3 linked regions of the Drosophila melanogaster genome follow. The protein of the gene in region 3 interacts with the protein of the main gene of each other region in a pairwise test. Each region holds a gene or a part of one and is shown on either strand. Other genes may lie near its edges.

Region 1 (9,422 bases), on a different chromosome or scaffold from region 3:
GTTGAGAAAATCGTTTGCCAACCGTAAGTAATCAATTAAAACATCAAGGAAACCAAATTATACATGCTTTCCCTTGGTAGTACCCCGCTTTGGTCAGATGTGCGGTCTGCCACGACGCCTGCAGAGCACACAGCCGGAGCAATCGGTGGAAACGGAACCGGAGGACATCGCCCTGGTGGAACAGCGGATTCTGAAGCATCCGGACTACTTCCAAGTGCACAACCTGTTCACCGTGCGCGACCTCTTCAATGCCCGAGTGCACTATGGCCACAAGGAGGGCTCCCTGGACGACCGAATGCGTCCGTACTTGTTCGGCAGTCGATTAGGTCATCTGATCTTCGATCTGGACAAGACGGCATCACATCTGCGCGATGCCCTCAACTTTGCCGCACACATTGCCTTCCGAGATGGCATCATTCTGTTCTTCAACCGCAACGCCATGAACTCACATCTCGTGGAGCGAAAGGCCCAGGAGGCCGGTGAATTCTCGCACACTCGCTTTTGGCGCGGCGGCATCTTTACCAATGCCAATGTGCAATTCGATGCGGTCACCAGGCTGCCCGATCTTTGCATTTTCCTCAACACTCAAAACAACGTTATGGCTCAGCACACGGCGGTTCGGGACGCCGCCAAAATGGCCATACCAACGATTGGCATAGTGGACAGCAATTGCAATCCCAACCTGATCACCTATCCGGTGCCCGGCAACGATGACTCGCCGGCCGCAGTGGAGCTCTATTGCAACCTCTTCAAGGAAGCCATACTGCGTGGCAAGCGGGAACGACGCCAACTCCTTGGCCTTCCGCCTCTGGACGAATCCCAGCCGCGGCGCAGTCGCAAAACTAAGTAATAGCCAAGTAGTAGTGTCAAGTTGATTTTGTTACATTTATCTTAATACAAATGCCAATGGCCGTCAATCCACGATGAAGAAGAAATTGCTAAATATGGTTGCAAAATTGCAGAACTTTGTGCATGTGCCATGCTATTTGATAGTGTTTAAGAAAACCCACGACCTGGGTTAGTTTCGGATAGCTATTCTAGGGCGGCAGCAGAGTGGCACCCTTGACAAAGTTGTTGCTGTAGTGGCTGAAATACGAGGGATTGGAGTTGGACCCCGTGTTGTTGGAACTTCCAGAGGGCCAGTAGTTGGTAATCTGTGGTGGGGTGTCAGGTGGCGGCGGAGGCGGCGCTGAGGTACCAATGATGGAGAGATCCGTACCGCCTTTGATGGCACGGCCGGGACCGAAGAACGTATCCATTTGCTGCTTCTTGAAATCATGCATCGACGCAAAACCATTCGGCGGCCTCTCCTTGGACATGTCCCACGAGCCGATGCTGGATGACTTGCGCACGAACACTTGGCCCTTTTCATTCTTGTCCTGCTCCACCCAGCGCTCTGCATGCTTCACCGTCAGCATCGCCTTGTGCGCAACTATATACTCCTCGGCCTTCTGTAGTCGTTCCAGTTGCTGCTCGTCCAGCTGGTCGCGCGGCAGCTTCCCCAAACGCTGCACCGTTCGCTTCCAGTTGTGGAACTCACGGTTTTTAAAGGGCTTCATGGCCATACGGTACTCCTTCCACTGGCGCTGGCGCTCCTCCTTCGTACCAGGCGGTGCATCCTCGAGCGGCGGTGGTGCCTCTGGCTTCTGTATCCATTGGCCATTGACCTGGACAAATGTGCCGCAGCGCTTGGGCTTCTTGGAGGGCTGCGCTTCCCCGTTTGACGGCGAATTGTTGCCATTGCTTGGCGGTGGGGGCGGAGGCATAAGCCTCGTATCTTTGTCACTGTTGCCGCGATGGTTTACCTTGAATTTCTTGTTATTCTGGTTTGGATTGCTGCGATTGTTTTGTGCTCCCTGCTCCTTGGGTACCAGATTCCACAAGCTGGGGCACTTGGGCATGGGCGGTTGGATTGGTGGTGGTCTATGTTGTGGCGACATCATGTCCTCCCAGAACGGAGGCGGCTGCAGAGGTCGGTGATTGTGATTCCGGCGGGGCCCAGAACCACGTGGTCCTCCAAAGCCCACTGGACCACCGGGGCCCATACTGCTCATGGGACCACAGGGACCCATATTGCTTATGGGACCGCGAGGTCCTCCTGGTCCCATTGGCCCCATGGGGGGACCGCATTGTCCGGGTCCAGGCCCAAAATTGCCTCCAAAGCCCATGTTCATCAGCTGCATAGGAAGTGGAGGCGGTCGATTCATCGGAGGATAGTTCCTGTCCTGGTAGCTTTGCGGACCTCCGCCTCCATGAAAGGCATTGTTGCTATTCGAAGACCAATGTTTACGTCCGTTGCCGTTGTTGTTATTGTTGTTGTTGTTACTATTGTTATTGTTGCTCCGTTGTAGTCCGCTTTTGGTATCCGGTTTCAGTGCATCCTTGCATTTCTTCCAATCTGCAAACGACATTTTCAGCGGCTTAGTTTCAGGCTCATCTTTGCCGGACTCCGGAACGACTTCCTTGGAATCCTCTGGTGCCGCCTCCACGTCCCCGTTTTCAGACATCTCGCACCTTAGAGAGTGGGAATACACTTTATAAATATATCAACTTAATTTTATTTGAGTTTTGCTTAGCGATGGCAAACAAAAATTTCAATAACAACAAATTGAAGGAACAGCCGATGTTTTCTATCGATATTTTCGTGCTTAAAATTTTAGGGAGTTTCCCCTGAAGTATTTTCTTAAGAGTCCTGTTGTTCTTAAAAAAGAACAGTAGTTTCCAAATGTATTCTCTAAACTTTCCGCTATACCAGTAAATCTTCATTTGTTAACTAGTAAGCGATATATTAATGCCCAACGTAATATAATATATATTTAACATTTTCGATCCCATGCAGACACAACCGGCGGGGAATAGTAATTGCCCAGCGTCCAGATACCATAGTGAATTGTTGGTTATCAGCGATAAGTGTCTGATTTCGTAACATTTATTTCATATTTAAATTTAAATTTTAATACGAACACATCTGTGATGCGAAATTGATGTGAGCTTTTTGACTGCGCTTTACGTGAACTGGTCTGGATAGCTGTGGCGCATCTCTAAAATCTAACGTGTTCGATCAGGTGGCAACACCCACCGTAAAAAACGATTTTAGTCGCAGTCGCAGAGATTTTGGTTTTGGTAAGCTCTAGTAATTTATTGGAAATTACGATCCAAAATACACCGTTTTAAGAGACGTTTCAATCGGCCATTAAAGTAAATAATAAGCGCGACGAAGACTAAACATCAAAAGTGTTGAAACTAGAACGAGAGTGCAAAGTCGGTCGCCAGCAAAACGCGTAGTTTGCTTATTTTAACGAAAAGCGGCCAGTGCCATTAAAATATTACTCAATTTCACAGAGAATTTTGGCCGAAAACGGATGCAATATATGGATATATAGACCCTGTTTCCTGAAAGTTAACTTCCTTTTTGTTCTACGCCCAACACGGTCGTCAACTGCGCTGCCATCGTCGACGTCGGCAGAGGCCATTCTTGTTGTTGCTATTCTCGACATATGATTCAATAGAGCGATCGCCTCTCTCTTTCTCCCTCCCACGGACAATTTCAGTTTTTTGTAATATTTCTGTTAGCTGTGTTTTAGTTGCCCATGTTTGTTTGTTCTTGTTGTTGTTGCTGCTGCTGCTGTTGCTGCAGCGGCAGTAAGTGATATTTAAAAAAGAAATGAGTTGTTCGCATGGAGCGAAAGTCGAACTGAAATAACACAAATGGTCGTCCGTTTGTCGTTCCCATTCGATATATGCCAACAATTTTCATCAATTATTTACATATTTTGCTTTTGGAACTTCGCACCGATTAACTGAGCAGAAGCCAGAAGCTCAGAAGGCGCCAATGGGTTAATTTGGCCACTAAACTATAGATAAATCGCGGTGTTATCAGCTAAAGCCGCTTATCAAACGTGCACATCGTTAAGATATACGAGAGCTTTGCGTCGCAATATTCGAGATTCGGTCGGAAACGAGGCCAATCTCCATATCCTAAGAAACCTTTTGGTTGTCCATGCTCTCGGCCATTACTCCCAAGTTCTAATGCAATATAGTCGGCTTTGATCATCCTAGCAGCTGAAAGCATGTATCCAAATAGTACAATAGTTTTAATGTAAACAATACATTTGATCGATAACTAACCTTTCTTGTGTTTACAGGGGGAGGTGCGGAAACAGCTTCTACGATTCATTTTTGATCAATTCTTCAACAACATTTAAACGAACGAATAAGTTAGCAGACCATATAGACTGAAATCAGCAGATCCGGACACCAGGCGGGACAACCTTAAGACTTCTTCACGAGACGATATCGAATCCAACGAATCCCGAGAATGGCTCACACACACCTGGGACGCGCCGTGAAAAACATTGAGGCGCCACGCCCGTTGAAGACACAATCGCGATCGTCGTTGAAGAACAGCTACCTGGTGATCGAGGAGCTAATCCAGTTGATAGACAACGTGACCGTCGGTCTTCAGTCGTGCAACACCACGCCGGAATCGATCACGCTGCTCCTGCACAACCTCCGGGTGCATGGACCGCAACTGGAGGCGGTGTCCAAGGATACACTGGACCGGGCCTTCGTCGTTTTCCGCAACGCTTCGCAGGACGAACGGCTGAATATAACGACGCGCCTCAAGCTGCTCGAACTCATCGAGCTGCGCGCCAAGAGCTGGGACAATGACGACACAATCGCGTACTACAAGTCCAAGCAGCAGATCTCCAACGTGGAGGTGAGTAGAGTACATAGAATCGATCTCACTTTGGAAAACGATCAAATATGTATCGTTGCTTTGCAGCTGCCTTCGGAATACCAGTACGATGCCGGCGTGCAGCCTGGCGCCTTCAGCACCTCCCCCACATTCGGCGTCAGCGGCGGTGTTGGTGGCGTTAACGATGGAGCCGCAGCCGCCGCTGCCGCCGTCTTCAATGCAGCATCTGCAGCTGCAGCCGCCCAAGCTGCGGCCATTGCGGCCGTGGGCACATCCAACCAGCAGCACATGCTGCTGCCGCCCGGTGAGGTCATTCGTAATTCGGGCAAGTTCCCCAAACCGACCAAGATTCCTGGCAAGACGTACTGCAAGGACGAGGTCGTGATTCGCAATGCTGACTCCGGCAAAGGTAAGTTTTTCAATCAGCTGAGGAGTGTTCTGGAGCACACAGATCTACAGAAATGGTTTTCAATAATGTATTCCTCCATTCCCGTGGCCAAAAAGTAATGGGCATCAAGGGGCGTCGCGTGCACATGATCGAGGAGCTAAGCGAAACCATTATATCGTTTCAAAGAGGTAACTCCAGAGAGCTGGTTTTAATTGTGATCCTCACCGCACCCCCATTTCATTTGGCACGCTTATTTAAATCAATTAATGCCCGGTGGCTTCTACAAAATTTACTAATAGAAATTATAAATACGCATGTTCCAGATTTTGTCCATTCAACGACACCACATTAAGCCAAAATTGATCGTTAAAGGCATTTTGAAATCACATATTTTCATACTGTATATATGCATTTTGTTTTTAAATGTTTTCGCATCCCAATTATTTTTCATAAATATAAATGCTTTTTTCGAGAACAATTATGAATGCCTTGTTTTCATTAGTCAACCCGGGTGCCAAGGAGCGTTTGGTGCAGATTACTGGTCCAGCTGAGGATAAAATTAAGTGAGTAAAGTAAATAAATTAAAGCTAATTTACCTTTATGTCAAAATGTTTTAATTCTACGACAGCTATGCCAAACAACTTATGGAGGACACCATTCGTCGGAACGCCTCGCCGGTGCGCCTGGAACCCGCTCCTGCCGTTGGAGGATCCTGCTCCTCGCTTAACTCGTCCAACTCGGACGACGCCATTGTGCAACCAAGAACGCCAACCGGAAGCAGTTTGGCCAACCGGCTAAGCTTTAACTCGGCCCAAAACTTCATGACCGCCACAGCTGCTGCACAGCAGATCTCGCAGCAGATGCACCACCAAACGCATCACCTGCAGCACCAACAGCAGCAGCAGGTCGCCGCAGTAGCCGCCGCAGCAGCAGCGGCGGCACATGCTCAGGCGACAGCCGCTGCCGGTAAAGTCTTGCGTCCCAATCAACAGCTGCTAATGCACTCATATTCCACAAACGATGCTTCCGTAGGTGAATACAAGTTCACGGTCAACGTGGGCCAGCACCTGATCAAGATCACCGGCGACTGCTGCGAACTAGTGCGCGTGAGTAATGTTGAAGTTTTCAATTGTGAAATTTGTTAAATCCCCTGCGATTTCAAGGTGGCCAAACTCGTGCTCGATGACTATTTTAGCAGCTCGGAGTTTCTGGCATCCATTGAGGCTGGCGCCGCCTTCGACGGCACTTCGCTGGTGACCACGCCATCGACTCCGCTTCCCGGAGCCGGGCCGCCGCAATTTTGGCTGCCCGGCACGGACAGTGGCATTGGACTGAATTGCGTTGTTTCCTCGTCAGCGAACAACAATGGTGAAGGCGACGACGAGGTGTTCGCTGAGCCCAGCAATGGAGGATCATCGACTAGCAATCAGAATGGACTGGCCAGATCGCGTCGCAGCCACTTTTCGCGCAAGGAGTCCACGCCGGAGACCAAGGGCGCTCGGGAAAAGGGTGACTTGGACGATTTGGCAGGCACCAATTCCTTGAAAAGCAATGCATGTAAGATTACAATCCTTTTATGCTTAACCAAGTCTTTGATGCTTAAACTTAAATTACAGCTCGCGTTTCTTACGATATTGAACACTTGCTCTACTACTCCATGAGTCCGCACTCGTGGACCCTGCCCACCGACTGGCAAAAGATGCAGGAGACAGCGCCCTCGATTCTGCGCAACAAGGTAATTTCGCCGTTCGATGGCTCACTTGGCCGTACGGCTTACTCTTCGAACATCCCCGATGCTATCATCGCCAGTGCACCTAACTCATCAGTAATAACACATCCGTGGGCTTTAAATGCAATAACCTCCTCCCCGAACACAAATATCATCAGCACCGCCGTTGGACTAGCTGCTGTCGATGCGTCGGCAGACAACAATCCCCTAACCGTCACTAACAAGCAATCAAAAGGGATCTTCGCCGAACGCGAGAACCGTCGCCTTCCCAAAACATCGGCCGTGTCCGATCGAAACCTGTATAACAAGCAATTGCAAATCATAACTAATACTGTGGGTCAATCGGTGGCAACACAAGGAAAGCATCGCCAGTCTAGCTATCAAACATCACAAGTGAAGGCAATTTTTCAACGCTACTGCGAGGACGATGAGTTTTCATTGGCACTGTGCGAAACAGAATCGAATAATAACCGCGTTTATGTGTAATTTCATTTAATTTCATTTAATTTAATTTAATTTTACGTAGCCGGAATACGTATTATTGAATCTCAGTCACAGATAGGCTTTTCTTTTCATGTCAGTATTTTTGCTGTTTTAATTTTATATAACTTATCATTAAGAAAAGGTGAAGCGTGAAGAACTTGATAATGAATCAAGTCAATACATCATTATCATTATCATCATCCAGTCATTAGATTAACGACATACCATCGAAACCAAACCGATCGCTAGTCTTAGAGGTAACAATACATATAATGCATTGAAATTAAAATGTAACTATAGGGAGAATCTGTGTTTTGGCTGTGAAACAGATTAAGTCGTCGCTAAGGATAAGCTGGAAAGGCGGTTGAAACCGCTTAACCGCTAACAAACAAACATTCTCGAATTCAAACCAACATTTACAAATCTGTAATCAATACGATTTATATTAACTAATAAACAGGACTTTCAAAGTCCGTAACAAAGCTTGGCTGGGTTTAACTTACACCACCACACACCCCACACATTGTAAATTATAAATTGTAACTTGTGTTTTACCACCGAAGCATCATAACATCACCACCTAACCACCACTCCAGATGGCTAACTTAGTTACTAAACTGTTCCGTATGTATATATGTTCGTTCATCCCTGGATAGCTTGCGTGTCAATGTTACTTTGAAATCAGATATTAAACCATTTCTTTGTTCGACAACAGGATCTGCAGGATGAGAGCCAGCGCTTCGATGGTGATAAGTATCTGGCCAGCATTAAGACGGCCGCCAAGCGAGACATTGTGGCTGCCGATGAGGTCGAGACTCTGGACGAATAAAGCCATCAATCGAGCGGCTCGAACTGACAATATAGAGTGTCCCGGGGTGAAGTGCCTGCTCCCAGACGGAGCTGCAGTATGCTTCAATGCTTTTGGCCATGGCCACATCTAACAATCGCAAACTCAAAACGACCAAAACAAAACAAACAAAAAAAAAAGAATATTGAAAAATATGCAAACTAACCCTAGAAATTACCAACGAAATAATCAAAAATTTCAAAATAACTAGAAAATTCAACGAAGCTCTTAGTTAAGTTCAATCGAAATGGGAATCCGGAATATTCCCAATATATACTAATTCAAAAAATGCAGCTAAATGAAAAGCCTCGAAGCGGCCCTAACTTGATAATATGGCCCAAATGAAATGGAATGCATTTTTAGTAACTCAATAGAGAATGACACGTTTTTAGTTGGAAATTTGTTTCTCATCCTTACGCAAACTTTGTTTCTCCCAACCAAATAATTCTCAAAACGGAAATGGAAATGTATTAATTCATCTATGTGTTTTATTATTATTATTTTGTAATTCTCTTGTGACTTGCGCTGAATGTCACTTTTCAAGATTTGAAATTGTATTTTGTTTTCTCTAGTCTATGCATCATAGAAATTTGTATACTATTTTGTTAAATTCACACCAAATTCTTTGAATTTCTGTTTATGCTTTAGTTAATTTATTTTATTTATTTTGTACAAATACAAATCATATATTCTTCAAAAAGATATTTGCAAGGAAATAAAATGGAATCAAGATCAAAACACACCTTCTTTCGCCCAAAACTCCAAATCTTTGGTTATTTAATTTGGTTAATGTACATTTACATAAATTTATTTATCACACACAATGGAACATAAATATAACAATAGTTTAAAGTTTGATATGTATCATCATAGAACGTTGGCTAGGAGGAGTAAAATAGATCGAATGACCACGTCGATTGTGCGGCTAGCAGAATGTGCTCCGAGTTGCATAACAAGTCAAGTGTAGTGGAAATGGCATTAGCATCGCAATTGGTTATTGGTTAGTAACAAACAGAATCGATCTATTGCACATAGTTGCCCAATAAAGGCCGCCTGTTCATGTGGCGGCACTGCATCGCGCTTTTGGCATGTACACAAAGCAAATATACATTTAGAAAAAGAACGTTAATTAGTCAGGGGCTGAAGTGGAGAAGTGTCATCATCGGATATGGGATTAGAACACAACAGCAAGACATCAATAGCATGCTCAACTCGACTCAATATTCACGTACATCGAGGTGTGGTATGTGGCCCGCTGGGCAGGTGACATGTTCAA
Region 2 (7,043 bases), on a different chromosome or scaffold from region 3:
GTTTCCCTGTTGATCTTCTAAATTGGATTTCAAGCAGAAATCCAATTTAGATCCTGAATGGCAGTACGCAACAAGTCCTCTTTAAAAATACTTTATCTTGTATTCTCCGAGTCACATCCGGTGTCCCACAAAGGAGCCATCTTGGCCCGCTTCTTTTTACCTTATTCATTAACGACCTTTTCTTAATAATAAAACATTCGCGTGTACCTATGTACGCAGTCGATGGTAAATTATGCCTTCAGCACAAGGACACTTCGTGCCATTTGGACTTACAATCCGATCTAGACAGATTTCGAATATGGTGCCGTGATAACGTATTAGACTTAAATGGCTCCAAGTGTAACGTTATGACTTACGCTCTAAGTGGGCACCCACCCAAAGAGCACTCTTTGGAGAGAATAACACGGGTTGATGATCTTGGTGGTCTTCTGGACCCTAAACTAAAATTTTCTGACCATATTTCGTCTATTGTCAATAAGGCCAGGGGTGTGCATGGTTTTATAAAAAGGTGGTCTAAGGAATTTGATGATCCTTAATTGACTAAAACCTTATTTATTTCGTTAGTCCGTCCGATTCTCGAGTACGGATCACTATCACCTGTTTGGAGTCCACAATACGCAGTCCACTCGGACCGCATTGAATCGGTCCAAAAAAACTTATTACGTTTTGCTTGCGGCGCCTAAAGTGGGATGCAAACCGTATATTACCTCCTTATTCCAGTACACTACGTTAATTTAATTTACCGTCCCTAGCTAACCGTAGAACCAAAGACACTAGAATAACAAGATGCGTAACGCCATACGATTTTTTGGCACACGATTTTTTCGCCGTGGCTCTAGAGGTGGCTCCAGGCTCTCTCGAATTTTTGTTAGAGAGCGAGAGAGCGGAGAGTGCTACAGCGAACAGCTCTTTTCATCGCATAAAGTGATAGCAGACAACTGTATGTGTGCACACGTATGCTCGCTCATGCATTGTAAATTTCACAAAATATGCCCTTCACCTTAGAAGTTCTTTGACTTTAAATCTATATTATTTTTGATCAATTGGCACCATGCGAAAAATTCTTGTTTTGCATTGCCTTAACGTTATTATTATATGAAAATAGATTAGAAATAGCCAAATCTATGTACATATTATCACAAAAATAAATTTCAAAAATGACTTTATATAAGAATATTTGTCATTAGAGTATTCATCTTGCGGCGTGTGAAAAATTAATAAGGCAATGATTGTTGAGTGCTTGTGTCCGTACTTCGTGCTTCAAGATATGAACAAAGCAAAGACACTAGAATAATTCTAGTGTCTTTGATATGACTTTTGCAATAAACAGTTATCATATTTAATTATTTACTATATTTATTATGTCATTTGACTTTATATGATGTAACATTAACATTAAAAGTGTTTAAAAAAAAAAATATTTCGCTTTCTTAAAAAATTGTCAGATGAGAGACAAATTAGAATTAAACATAAATATAAATGTGTAAACGGTAGCTAATTCGAGCGGCGATTTTAACAAACAAATTTAAAAAGCTTTAAAATGATAATAGTCAGTTAAAAATTATTTTATTTTATCATATTGCTACGAAATTGGCAAAAACTACCCTAATATGTACAATGTAAATTCGTTTTTTCGATCAGAATTGATTTCGGTCCGAAAATCGTCTTCTAGCACAACACGCACACATATATGCGTTCTCGTCTCTTGTTTTTACTCACACAAGCAAGCAAATTCTATTTTTAGATTTCTTATGCTCTCAGCGGGAGCGAGCGGAAAGAGAGCAATTTTGGCCGTCACTAAAAAATTGGCTGCATAGTGCCAAACCAATGTATGGCCGCTACGCATCTTGTTATTCTAGTGTCTTTGGTAGAACTATGCTTGGAACAGTCTTTATTTGTAAGCTTATTCGTGGGGATGTTAAGAGTTCTGACTTGATTAGTCGGCTTAACTTCTCAGTTCGAAGTAGTTCTCAGTAGTAGTTCTCAGTTCCTTATTTCAGTTCTCAGTTCCTTATTTTAAATCATTGTAGATCTAACTATGAGTTGCGTGACCCTTACAGAGTATTATGTTCTGATTATAATAGACTTTATCCTAATATCTGTAATCTTGACTCTCTGCCGCTCACAAAGCAATTGATTTTACCTTTTTTTATTTTATGATTAGATCCTACTAACAGTAATATTTAATATAGTTATTTTATATTATATTCATTTCCTCGATCCTGTTCTCTTTTTTATATCGCGTCTATCCTCTCGCTAATCGAGGCGTACGATACACGGCAGCGCCCCTCGTTCGGTTGGTCGGGAGGTGTCGCCGTTGGACCCGTGCCAAAAAAAAAAAATATATAATAATAATATAAAATAATTGGGTCTGAATACGGATTATTTTTGTTTTGATTTAAATTCTTTTATTTATCGATATTTTGATGTAATATAGAATCGTTTTTTACCAATTTCTTTATTGTCATATGTATTTTAGTCAGTGTGAAAGGGTCTTATTTTGGCCATAATTAACTAATTATATTTTACGTTCAAGAAACCCTAATTACGATGAAATTAACATTTTGTTTTAAAGTTGCCCATATGTTGTATTCTTAGATATAATGATCTATTTAGCCATGTTGCGGAAAGGGCTCATTATCAGGAATTGAACGCTGGCATAGCATGTACAATCATTATTATAATTTTGGCAAACCTCAATAGAATAAACGTATTATGAAGTAGTTTTAGTAAATAATTAACATTGAAATATGATTTTTTTTTTATTTTTAAAAACTTATGGTTAGCAAAAAATTAAATTATTAATGATGAAGCGTTTAAAAATGTGACCTAACTATCGTTGATAATGATATTCTTCAGTTATCACTATTTCTTGTGTGCTATCGATGTTTCAAATAATAAATGCAACTCTGTTCGTATGAACAGAACACATTGCATGTGGAAATTATTAAAAAATAGTTTTTGAATGTAAAGATAAAGCTGGAATTACTGCTTCATTTTTATAAATAAATACATTTTTAAAATACACTTAAAGTGGAATTCTTAACATTTGTATTTTTTGTACATAATCACGTCGGATAGGCACATACAAACATTTGCTCAGGTAAATTGATGGTTAATAATGAGCACTGGGCAACAAATATTACATGATACTTTGCAAGTTTACTGTGCACAGTGAAGGGAAAAAAGATTTTACCACTAACATTCTGAAATGTGTCTTAACTTTTTAAAAATGATGTAAACGATGGAATTCGTGGCACGTTTTCACCATATGCACCATTGTGATTGTGAGAACGAAATCTCCAAAGTCACAACGGCAACGTCGGCAAATAAGTAAGGCTCCAGGATGGATTGGCAAATGTTTAATAGAAATTATCTCTGGGCTTCAGCTCTAGACTTAATAAATTACAAAATGTCTACTTTATATTTTTGAAACATTTGGGTGAAATCTTTTGTGATATTTAATGATTTTATACGTGTCAGTTCTTTTAATTTCAGAGACCTCTCTGGTAGCTGTATATCAATATATTTCCAGGTAAAATATGCAGAACTGAAACGTGGACAATTAATATTCATTAATATTCATTAAAGAATCAAATGATTGAATGACGTCGTATTTGTGGGTCCAAAATCACCACAGAAATCGTCTATGAAACGGTAAATCTAACCGTTTGGCGATTTCCTACAGAGCTAACTCTAGGAATACACATACGTAATGCAACAGGCTATACCAACTTTACCAACACAATCAGATATAGATAAAGCCATGCAGCCCCATTCAGCACAAAATATGGTAAGTCGATATAAAAATAACATCTCCAAAATTATTTACATATATACATTTTGACATTATTTGCTGTATTACTTTCCTTGCAATTGTTTTAAATTAGTTCGTTAAATAAATATGTTTTCCTAGTTCCGAAAAGAGCTAAAACCTATTTTTTATAAGTTTGCCTGCTGTAGTCAATGTAAACAATCTATTAAGATAGTATCACACTTCTCGTACAATAACAGCAAAGTTTAAAAAGAAAATGCTATTTTTGTGGAATTTTTTTATATGTTTGTTTTATAAATATTGCGGTTTGTATAAAAGGTATATAATTCAATTAAAAAATTTATAAAATATATGTTTGCGATTACAATTATTTAAGTTACTTACTAAATGAATTAAAAAATTAAAAATTTTTTTAACGAACTTGATTGAATACTAATAATTGTTCTAGTCCTGTAAAGCTACATAATTCATAAATGAAGCTCTTCCGGGCATGGTATGAAGTACTTTATTTAAAACCTAAACTATAAAAAACCGCGTTTTTCCAAACATACATAAATCATATAGTTTTTATCGGTAAAAATATTAATTAAAAAAATTTTTATTTCAACGGTGGCTCCAAAAATGGATGCTGAATCTGGTTTGTTGGTAACTGGCAGACACTCAGCAACGTAATTTTAAAGCTAAACTCAAAACGCATTGTGATTAATCTATCCAAGGGAAAAAAAATATTCGAAATGTATTTTATTATATTGATTTAAAGGATTAATGATTTCACATATCCAAGTCACAGAATCAGTCCATATATAATAGTCCCTAATATAATAGTTTCGTTGTTTTTATTCATAAAATGTCAACTTGATATTGTATTTTATAGTGATGTCCTTTTGAAGGGCTTAATGATATAAGGCATATATTTAAATCGCAGTAAAAGAGATATTTGGGACCATATAAATTATATATATATTCTTTATCAGTATCAGCAGCCGAGTAAAATAAATATAAAATAGTCCAGAAGATAATAGCTTCATACTTTTTATTTCTGAATGACAACTTGATATACACCGTTTTTTGACCGCGTATAACTTTGGTTTTAAGGCTAATTGTCAACATGCCGGCGACGACTAAGGAGCAACAGTCGGAAAATTAAATGAAGCTATAACAAAATAAATAATAGTTTAATTGTTTTTAATCATTTAGTGTTCTTATTTTGTACGCACAACTTTTTTTTTATTAATTAATTAATCTTGTAATCTATCATTTGAACTGTGTTAGACAGCTAAATCCCATAAACATTATTTGTCCATAGGGGACGTAGGACAAAAACTCTAAACCCTAATAAAATTATCAAACCCAATGCATGTTTTATATATATTTGTTAATTCTGGATTTATTTATCACAAAATTTGAGGCTGAAAAGTATTAAAAAATCTGCATAAGTATAATATTCAAATTTCACAGTGCAGAAGTGTAATACTACTCAAAATTCCGATTCTTGATTTCTCAGTTTCATTTTATTTTTAAATGGGTTTGTTTTGGTTTTTTTAATACTTTGTTTAAGTGCAATAAAGTAGGATTAACCAATTATCTAATAGTTTTTATAACTTATATATTCGGCAACATTTTTTTTTAATCATTGTTAAATCAATTTTACAGTCCGAAAATGTTCCCACTCTTGTGATCTGTTGTAGATTTTGCCAGCCAATAAAAAGACCAAAAAGTATGATCAACAGGTGCCAACTTCAAAGCCACAATCTCTTCATCAGCCTCTTCAACCGCAGCATAGCCATCCCACTGCTCAGCCTCAGTTTCAGATAAATAAGGCATACAATGTGGTCTCCATTCTTAAGGCATCAGCGCAGATCGCTCAACAGTCCCCACACTTGACGAATCAGCAGCATCCACCAATCCATCACCCACAGCAAACACAGCAGCATCAACAAAGCTATACAAACGTTGTAAATAGAAGCTTATCTGCGTCTGAACCAGTTAGAGCCCAGTCATCGGTTATCTGTAACGGTTCAAGCATATTGACAGTAAATAGTAGACAACTGAATTCGGGTGATATGAATTCGACTGCCATTTATAACATATCCAGTTACCGAAAATTAACTGGAAGTCTAGATGGAAATGTTTGCTTTCTAAATGTACAGGACATTAAACAAAATGGCAACATCAGTGGGTCAGTAGTATCAAATAAGTCCATCGTCGGAGTCGGAAGTGAAAAAAGTTCTTGTACTGGAGTCAGTATTAACAACCAAATAGTATTGCCTAATGCGCAAATAGGAACATCTATGGGAATAGCTGGAACAACTACAGCAGGCACAAGCTACATGCACGAAAAGAATATCGTTGGCGTTAGCGTCAATTGTGTTAATACTAGTAAAAAGTATGATTTCAATAACAGTAGTTTGTTATCAAATAATAGTTACCCGGCATCTACAGCAGAGGTAAACCTTGCAAATTCTGTGACTTTAGGAAGAGATTCATTTTAAATAATTCTTAACTTCATTTCACCTCCCTTTTTTTTAATAATTAGTTTTTAAATACTTTAGGTCCCAAAATTTATTAAATATCAATACGATTTTTTATTTAATGAGCAGTTTTTCTTATAATGTGAATATATGTATACTTTTATATTGTACTCACAGTGCCTAATGTAATGTAAAGAAACCAAGAAACCCGCTATAGTCGAGTTCCTTGACTAGCTAGTTGGAGGCGAAAAAAATGGGGAAGAAAAAATATAGAAATACAAATCATTTAAACATTTTGGAAGATTGGGGGCAGCCTTTTGCGCTTTAAGGGCGTTAGGACATGCCGATATAAATTGGCAAGACAAATCACCAAATAACCAACGGATTCTGCTTGCGTGATCTCAACTTTCTGACACAATTCCCAAAATCGTTACGTTCATAAGGCTAGATCGACTCGGCTAGTGAGGCTAATAATATATATATATATATATATATATATATACTCTATAGGGTCTGAAACGCTGCATTCTAACTGCTACTTTTCAAAGAATTTAGTATAACCTTTTCCTCTACTAGTATATATTAAATATTTATTCTGATTATTTAAGTTTTACATTCTTCACTGCATTATCTTTATAATAATAATAATAATAATACAATCCATTTCTTTCTCTTACTGATTATTAAATTCTTTTAAATACTTTCAGTATGTATCAACGGGAAACAACAATTCTGGGAATACCCGTTCTAATCCACAAAGTGGCGGAATATTTCGAGGACCACCCTCGACGCCTAAT
Region 3 (5,792 bases):
TAATTAAAATTGCAACAGGCTACGTAGTTCTCATTGCAGCAACAGGAGGATGGCAAAGAAAATCCGAAAATAAAAACACTGAAAAATATTCAAATATATGCTACATAGTTATTTGGAACTCTGATACTCATCGAAGATTTTTATTTATATTTTAAATATTTTATATAAATAATATTATTGTTGGGCGAAGAATGTACATATCAAGTTGATCGTGCTTTATCTATAACATTTTTTTTTTTACAGTGCAGCCAAGTCAGCGTTTTTCAATTAAGCTTGCATTTCATTTAATATAGGAGAGAAGTCTGCAACATTAGTGCTGCCCTTTGCCGGATATTCTCTGTTTGTGTTTGTCCAGTTATCCTCTATTTGCTTTTGCCGTTGCCAAAGGAAGGGGAATCCCCCCTGGCTGGCTTTTGTTTCTTTGGCGAAGAGAGAAAACCTTTTATAGCGGTTATTAAATTGCTCTTTAAGTGCTTGGCACGGGGCGTAAGCTATTTGCCCTATCCCAGGTTGTTACCTGTTACCTGTCCTCCGCATCAGTTGCTCCTCCAAATCCGCGTACGTGTTGGCATATCAATTCACATTACGGTCCGAATAACTGCATGCATTCATCTGCGCCAAGGAATCCCGTTCATATCAAGCAGGATTCGTCCGGCGGCGGGTAGGGAGAAGAAAGAGGGTGACATCGCCGGGAGGTTGGACAGGATGTCGGAGATACGCTGCCATTGGCACTGACATAACCCCATGTGCAGTGTATCACGTTCCAGTCATTTGGTGGCTGCCACTTCATAATTCAATAAAACAATAAAAGCAAAATCCTTACAAATTACAGCAATCAAATCATACGACTTACATGGGCATCAGTGATGACAATTCAGGGTCTGAATATTTTGCACTTTCAAATATCATTTAGTATGTGAGCAGAAATATTATACATATCATAGGTGCTGAGATTTCCAGGAATACCGGCAATACTATCTGAAATATTAGTTTTTGGAATATGGAATATATATATATTTGGAATATAGAATGAAAAACCTGCTAGGAGCACTAGCAGCACTTCCCTGGAAATGGAGGATATTGCGCTTCCCGAGCATATTTCCATAAATTGGTCACAATTTGCTATGCGCAGCAGCACGGAAGACAAAAGCCCTGAAAGGACGACGCACACACATAGGAAGGAATAAGCACTTGGCGCGCGATGGCAGCCGTTAAAGGATGGGCAGAGTCACCCAAAATTATGACGCCAAGGATAATCGTAGTGAAGCGAGTATGTGTTTCCCACTCCGCCGGGGAATACGTGAGGCGACTATAGTAGCCTCGGGATACCGGCACACGAATCGTGGCCAGAAAGTAGTTACTGTTTCTACTGCTCTACGCAATACTTTATTCATGGTACAACCGATATCTATCTCGAAAAGCATTGGTGCGCGTGGGATAAAATGTGAGTTTGACAAATGTATAAGGCTTATGTACTATCGTTGGAAATGTACTATGGCGCCCTTGGAAATTGGCCTACAATGTGTAGATGGCATTGACATTGGGTCCATGGTTCACCATGGCATCCTTGTGCACCTGGTACTGGATTTCCATAATGCCCAGATGCAGCAGCTCCTTTATCTGCCTGCCAATGGACAGGATAGCCTCTACATTGCGAGAGTCCTTCGTCCAAAGGGCTGTAAAGAAAGTTGACCTTAGAGATACCCCAATGTGAAATGCTGTCTTATACCCACATAGCTTATTAGCCTTGTTGCGCACATTGATGACCACTCCACATATCTCGTCCGAGTGCTGGAAGCACTCGCCAATCATGCACAAAAGCTAAAGGAGATAATGCTTTATAATGCATTGAGCTTATAATTATGGTGCAATCATGTGGCTTACCAAATCGTGCCACATCTTATCTATATAGGTCCTGGAGGCCTTGTCCAGGAGCAGTATCCAACGACCACCGTTCTTATTGGTGTCATCCTCCCACATGGGACTAAATATTTATATACATAAGACGAGGTTCAAAGAGCAGACTTTCAGAACTCACCGAATATTTTTCTTGAAGACCATGTAGTCATTGAATATCTTCAGATCCGATGGCGGCTTCACAAAGTAGTACACACTGTCGAAATAGAATAGGATATATATATATAGGATATATATATATATATATGAATCTGTGTCTGACCTGAAGAAGTCCTCAACGGTGTTGAAGCTGGTCACATCGACGAGCATTTCGGCCCAGCGCTTGGTACGATCGTTCTCCAAGTGCCACAAAGTCCAGGTATGCTCCAATGGATGCTTCATGGCCAGGTCGTAGTCGATGTTTTTCATCACCCGGTTCAATGAGGGCTGCAACTCCTCCTCATTGCCGCTCATCAGTTCCAAACCATCATAAACTGCCAGACCATGTGACCAGTCATTGGGATCTCCATACGGCACCCATGCTAAATATATTCGATTCGCATATCGAATGATGAATCGTAAAAAAAAAGATCTGCTGTCAGCTTACCAGTTTCCTCAGCATTCTGCAATCCGTTGCTTACGTAACCGGTGTACACCATTGTTTTTTATTGATTCAATGCGATAAACGAACCTTTTTTTGTTAGTTTTCTCGTTTTATTTTACTAAAAAAAACTCCTTGAAATGGTATATGTCTCGTGCAAAGTATAAGCGTTAATGAAAATGGCTTAACATGAGTGCACACTTTGACAAATCAAGATATGACAGCTAAAGCGTTGCCACCTTGGTTATGAAAAAGTATTGGAAAAGTCATGTGACCATCTCGTTGCGTAATATGCTTATTTTCAAAAGACTCTATCCCTTTATCGCCTTTATTATTTAAAATATTTTATGGTACATCCTGCCATTATTTCATCAATAAATCTTGTATCCAAGTCTTAAGCACCCCATTCAAACACTCCGATATTGCAGCTCCCATTCGCACATTTTGGTTGCAAAATCAAATTGAGTCGGTTAAGTACGAGCCCGAGGGTCTATCAATTGAAATGTCACGCTAATAAAATAAAATGCCACCGAGCATACGATAAATGCACGAAAATAATAAAATGTGACTCAAATGAGCGACGACGACAGCAACCACAGACACAGACACGGCCACACAAAGTTGGCAGCCGGAAAGACGGATACGATTGGGAATGGAACTGGAGCGAGTAGAGGAATCCCCCTTTCTTGTCTGCTCTGGCTGCTCCTTGTGCAACAGTTTGGCCTGCAGTCAATAATCGAAATCGACTTGGGCTTGTGGCAATAAAAATTTGTCTTCGCCGCTTAAGTTGTGCGCCTTGTTGCACACACAAGGTCCTGGGTCCCTCCGTGCCGGAGTCCTTTGGCAAAGCCCCACACCTCACCCCTGCCCGAACCCATCACCACGCCCCTGGCGGCGGTGCAGATAATAAAATATGTGAGTCGCTACGTGGCAGCTCCTTTGGCGTTGGCAAAGTAGCTTTGGGCCCTTGTAATGTGCACCATTTGTTGCGCGGCTGGTGGTGCGGTGGCACCAACTTGCACTCCAACCAAGATGCTCCGCACCAGCTCCATCTCCGTTTCCATCTCCATCTGCTGGATGCACGGGTGAGTTATGCCGGCCAAGTTTGGAACAAAAGTGTTGGCACTGCTCCTTGTTCTTGGTTCTCGCAGCCAAATAAGTTGCCAGCCCCAATTTACTTAAAAATTCTATTTATTTTTGCTTTTAAGCAGCTTTGGCGGCTGCTCCAGCTCGTATTTCTGGGATTTTTTGAGGAAAAAACTGCTCCAAATTTGTTTCGTTAATTGGGAGAATAAGTTAAAACAAGGAATTGTAAAATTTTAGAAAGTGTTTTAATATCTAGACTATCTTAACTTAAAGTACATTTTATAAGCTCGTATCGCACGTTATTCCCTTCCTCTCTTCACTTAAACAATAGATAAAACTTTTTCAGCTACTGCTGGTTTTTAATATTTATATTTTTTGACATGCCTGTTTATTCCTTGAATCCCATAACTAAAAATTACCTGCTCCAAATGGAGTTGGTAGCCCATAAATTCCCGAGAGGGAAAACTTTAGTTCCAACTCTTTTTTTGGGGCTTCTCCCCCATTCGAGTTAAGTTGCCGGCAAACGCTTAGCTATGCTTTGTTAGATTTGACTTTGTGCTCCGCTCTTCTCAGGTGGCACTTTGGCGTATACGCAATATTTTACAGCTTTTTGCACTTTGCTGGCTGAGCTGAAAATACATGGTCAGTAAATCTTTTAAAATATTGTAATGTTGAGGGAGTCTATGGGGGGATGGCTCCCGCACCAGCTTAAGCGATTTGAGTGCCGAAGCAGTAAAAACGCCCACAAACTGCCGGGGAAAACGAAGGGGAAAAGCGCGTAAATGGGGCAAACTACAAGAAGAAGCCAAGGATCCAAGGACTCAAGTATCCAAGAGCTAGGACCTCATCTTGAGGCAGTTCTGTGCAGACAAGCGCATGCAAGAAATGAAAATGATTTGAGGCATTATGTTCGCTCCGGTTTTACCCCGCCATTTCTCGTTTCGCTTCCGTTCGGCTGTCTTTTCTTCTTTTTTTTTATTTGTTTTTTTTTTTTGGCTACAAAATTGCTTTGCTGCTGCTTCATGTTGATTGTAAAAGATTTCAGTGCTGAAAGCACAAAGCATGCGATGATGTACGGAACGACGCACGTCGTACATTTTGCACCTTGAAGTGGCAAGCGGAGGAGATGCTCTCCTCCACTCCCGCTTCTCCGCCCCATCCACTGCGGGCAAAGACAGCCACATAAAACAATAAAAAGCAGTGGTAAGTGTCGGGGATGGGTAGCGACAACACATCCTGCACATCCAGCACCTTAAGGCCAAGCCAACTGACAGCAGCTTCCGGCAGCCCCCAGTCCGTCTGCTCCATCTGGCCCATTTGCTTCAGCTGCCACGCCCCCAGTTGTCGTTTGGCCCTCTCACCTGGACAAAAAGATACAGGTGTACGAGGCTTAAGTATTGCCACACTAGAAGTGAAAATTTTAGTGGCTCTAGAAAATAGTTATTGATTATTATGCCAAATCATTTTCATGTTTGTTTGACAGAATAATTTCTTTACATTTGACCCAATTGTATTATAAATCATTAAATTATTATTTTTAAAATTTGATAATGTGTTGTGCTATCTATTTATTATGGTTGGATGTAAATATTATTGAACATGTAATTTTTATTTTATTTTTTAAATATTATATTTGATCAATATAATATGAAATATTAATATATTTGATTAATATATTGATTATCAAAATTATCCAGCTGAGCCTCTCCTATTATTTTGCCCATGGGTGTCCGTATATGTGCCTCTTTGCAGTGCTAAATACTTTGGACCAAGACGACGCCTCTGGGCGCTGGCTACCCCGACTTGGAGCTATAGCTTCTATATCTTTGAAGCCGCTGCTCGAGGCCAGGTGAAAGTCATTTCACGCTGTGTGTAGCGCAAAAGATTAAAATAATAGCAGCGCGTAAATTAAACAGTCCGTTGGAGCCGAAGCGTAGGTGCCAGATGGGGGATTTTAAAGGGCAATGGAAAAAGGATGCGGGGACATGGCAATGCTGAGCCATTGAAGTGGCAGCCATGGCCACCTCAACCCAACCCACCTCATTGCATCCCTTTGTTTAGGGCTGCGGTCTGCGCTAAGACGCTTACCTGGCGCTCCCCCCGCCACAGCCGCATCCTGTCCAAAACTCCGCACCCGACCTCCTGTCCTCCAGGACATTGCCAGCATTGCGTTGTCAGCACTTCATTTTGATCCAACATGCCGCGTGCT

What was found. The genes of interacting proteins can lie anywhere in the genome.
Region 1: the proteins of eIF4E3 (region 3) and mxt interact in a two-hybrid assay, tested with the Drosophila melanogaster proteins (2 studies listed by BioGRID).
Region 2: the proteins of eIF4E3 (region 3) and eIF4G1 interact in a two-hybrid assay, tested with the Drosophila melanogaster proteins (one study listed by BioGRID).

Annotation. Positions count from the first base shown.
Region 1 is NT_033779.5:4,840,940-4,850,361, reverse strand, and holds mxt (mextli), read left to right. Parts: upstream 1-3,066; 5' UTR 3,067-3,123; exon of another isoform or gene 3,124-3,198; intron 3,199-3,597; exon of another isoform or gene 3,598-3,646; intron 3,647-4,011; exon of another isoform or gene 4,012-4,083; intron 4,084-4,145; 5' UTR 4,146-4,318; coding exon 4,319-4,720; intron 4,721-4,786; coding exon 4,787-5,108; intron 5,109-5,203; coding exon 5,204-5,275; intron 5,276-5,589; coding exon 5,590-5,650; intron 5,651-5,715; coding exon 5,716-6,193; intron 6,194-6,250; coding exon 6,251-6,644; intron 6,645-6,703; coding exon 6,704-7,302; 3' UTR 7,303-7,778; downstream 7,779-9,422. Other genes in the region: mRpS2 (mitochondrial ribosomal protein S2), read left to right, coding at 1-23, 81-850; CG11927 (uncharacterized protein), read right to left, coding at 1,038-2,507; CG12194 (uncharacterized protein), read right to left, coding at 9,169-9,226, 9,379-9,422. UniProt on the Drosophila melanogaster protein: Plays a role in promoting translation.
Region 2 is NC_004353.4:926,572-933,614, reverse strand, and holds the start of eIF4G1 (eukaryotic translation initiation factor 4G1), read left to right. Parts: upstream 1-2,899; 5' UTR 2,900-3,103; exon of another isoform or gene 3,104-3,333; intron 3,334-3,483; 5' UTR 3,484-3,535; intron 3,536-3,591; 5' UTR 3,592-3,715; coding exon 3,716-3,793; intron 3,794-5,463; coding exon 5,464-6,222; intron 6,223-6,953; coding exon 6,954-7,043.
Region 3 is NT_037436.4:8,226,145-8,231,936, reverse strand, and holds eIF4E3 (eukaryotic translation initiation factor 4E3), read right to left. Parts: upstream 2,714-5,792; 5' UTR 2,556-2,713; coding exon 2,504-2,555; intron 2,439-2,503; coding exon 2,180-2,438; intron 2,114-2,179; coding exon 2,039-2,113; intron 1,985-2,038; coding exon 1,885-1,984; intron 1,822-1,884; coding exon 1,734-1,821; intron 1,677-1,733; coding exon 1,516-1,676; 3' UTR 1,369-1,515; downstream 1-1,368.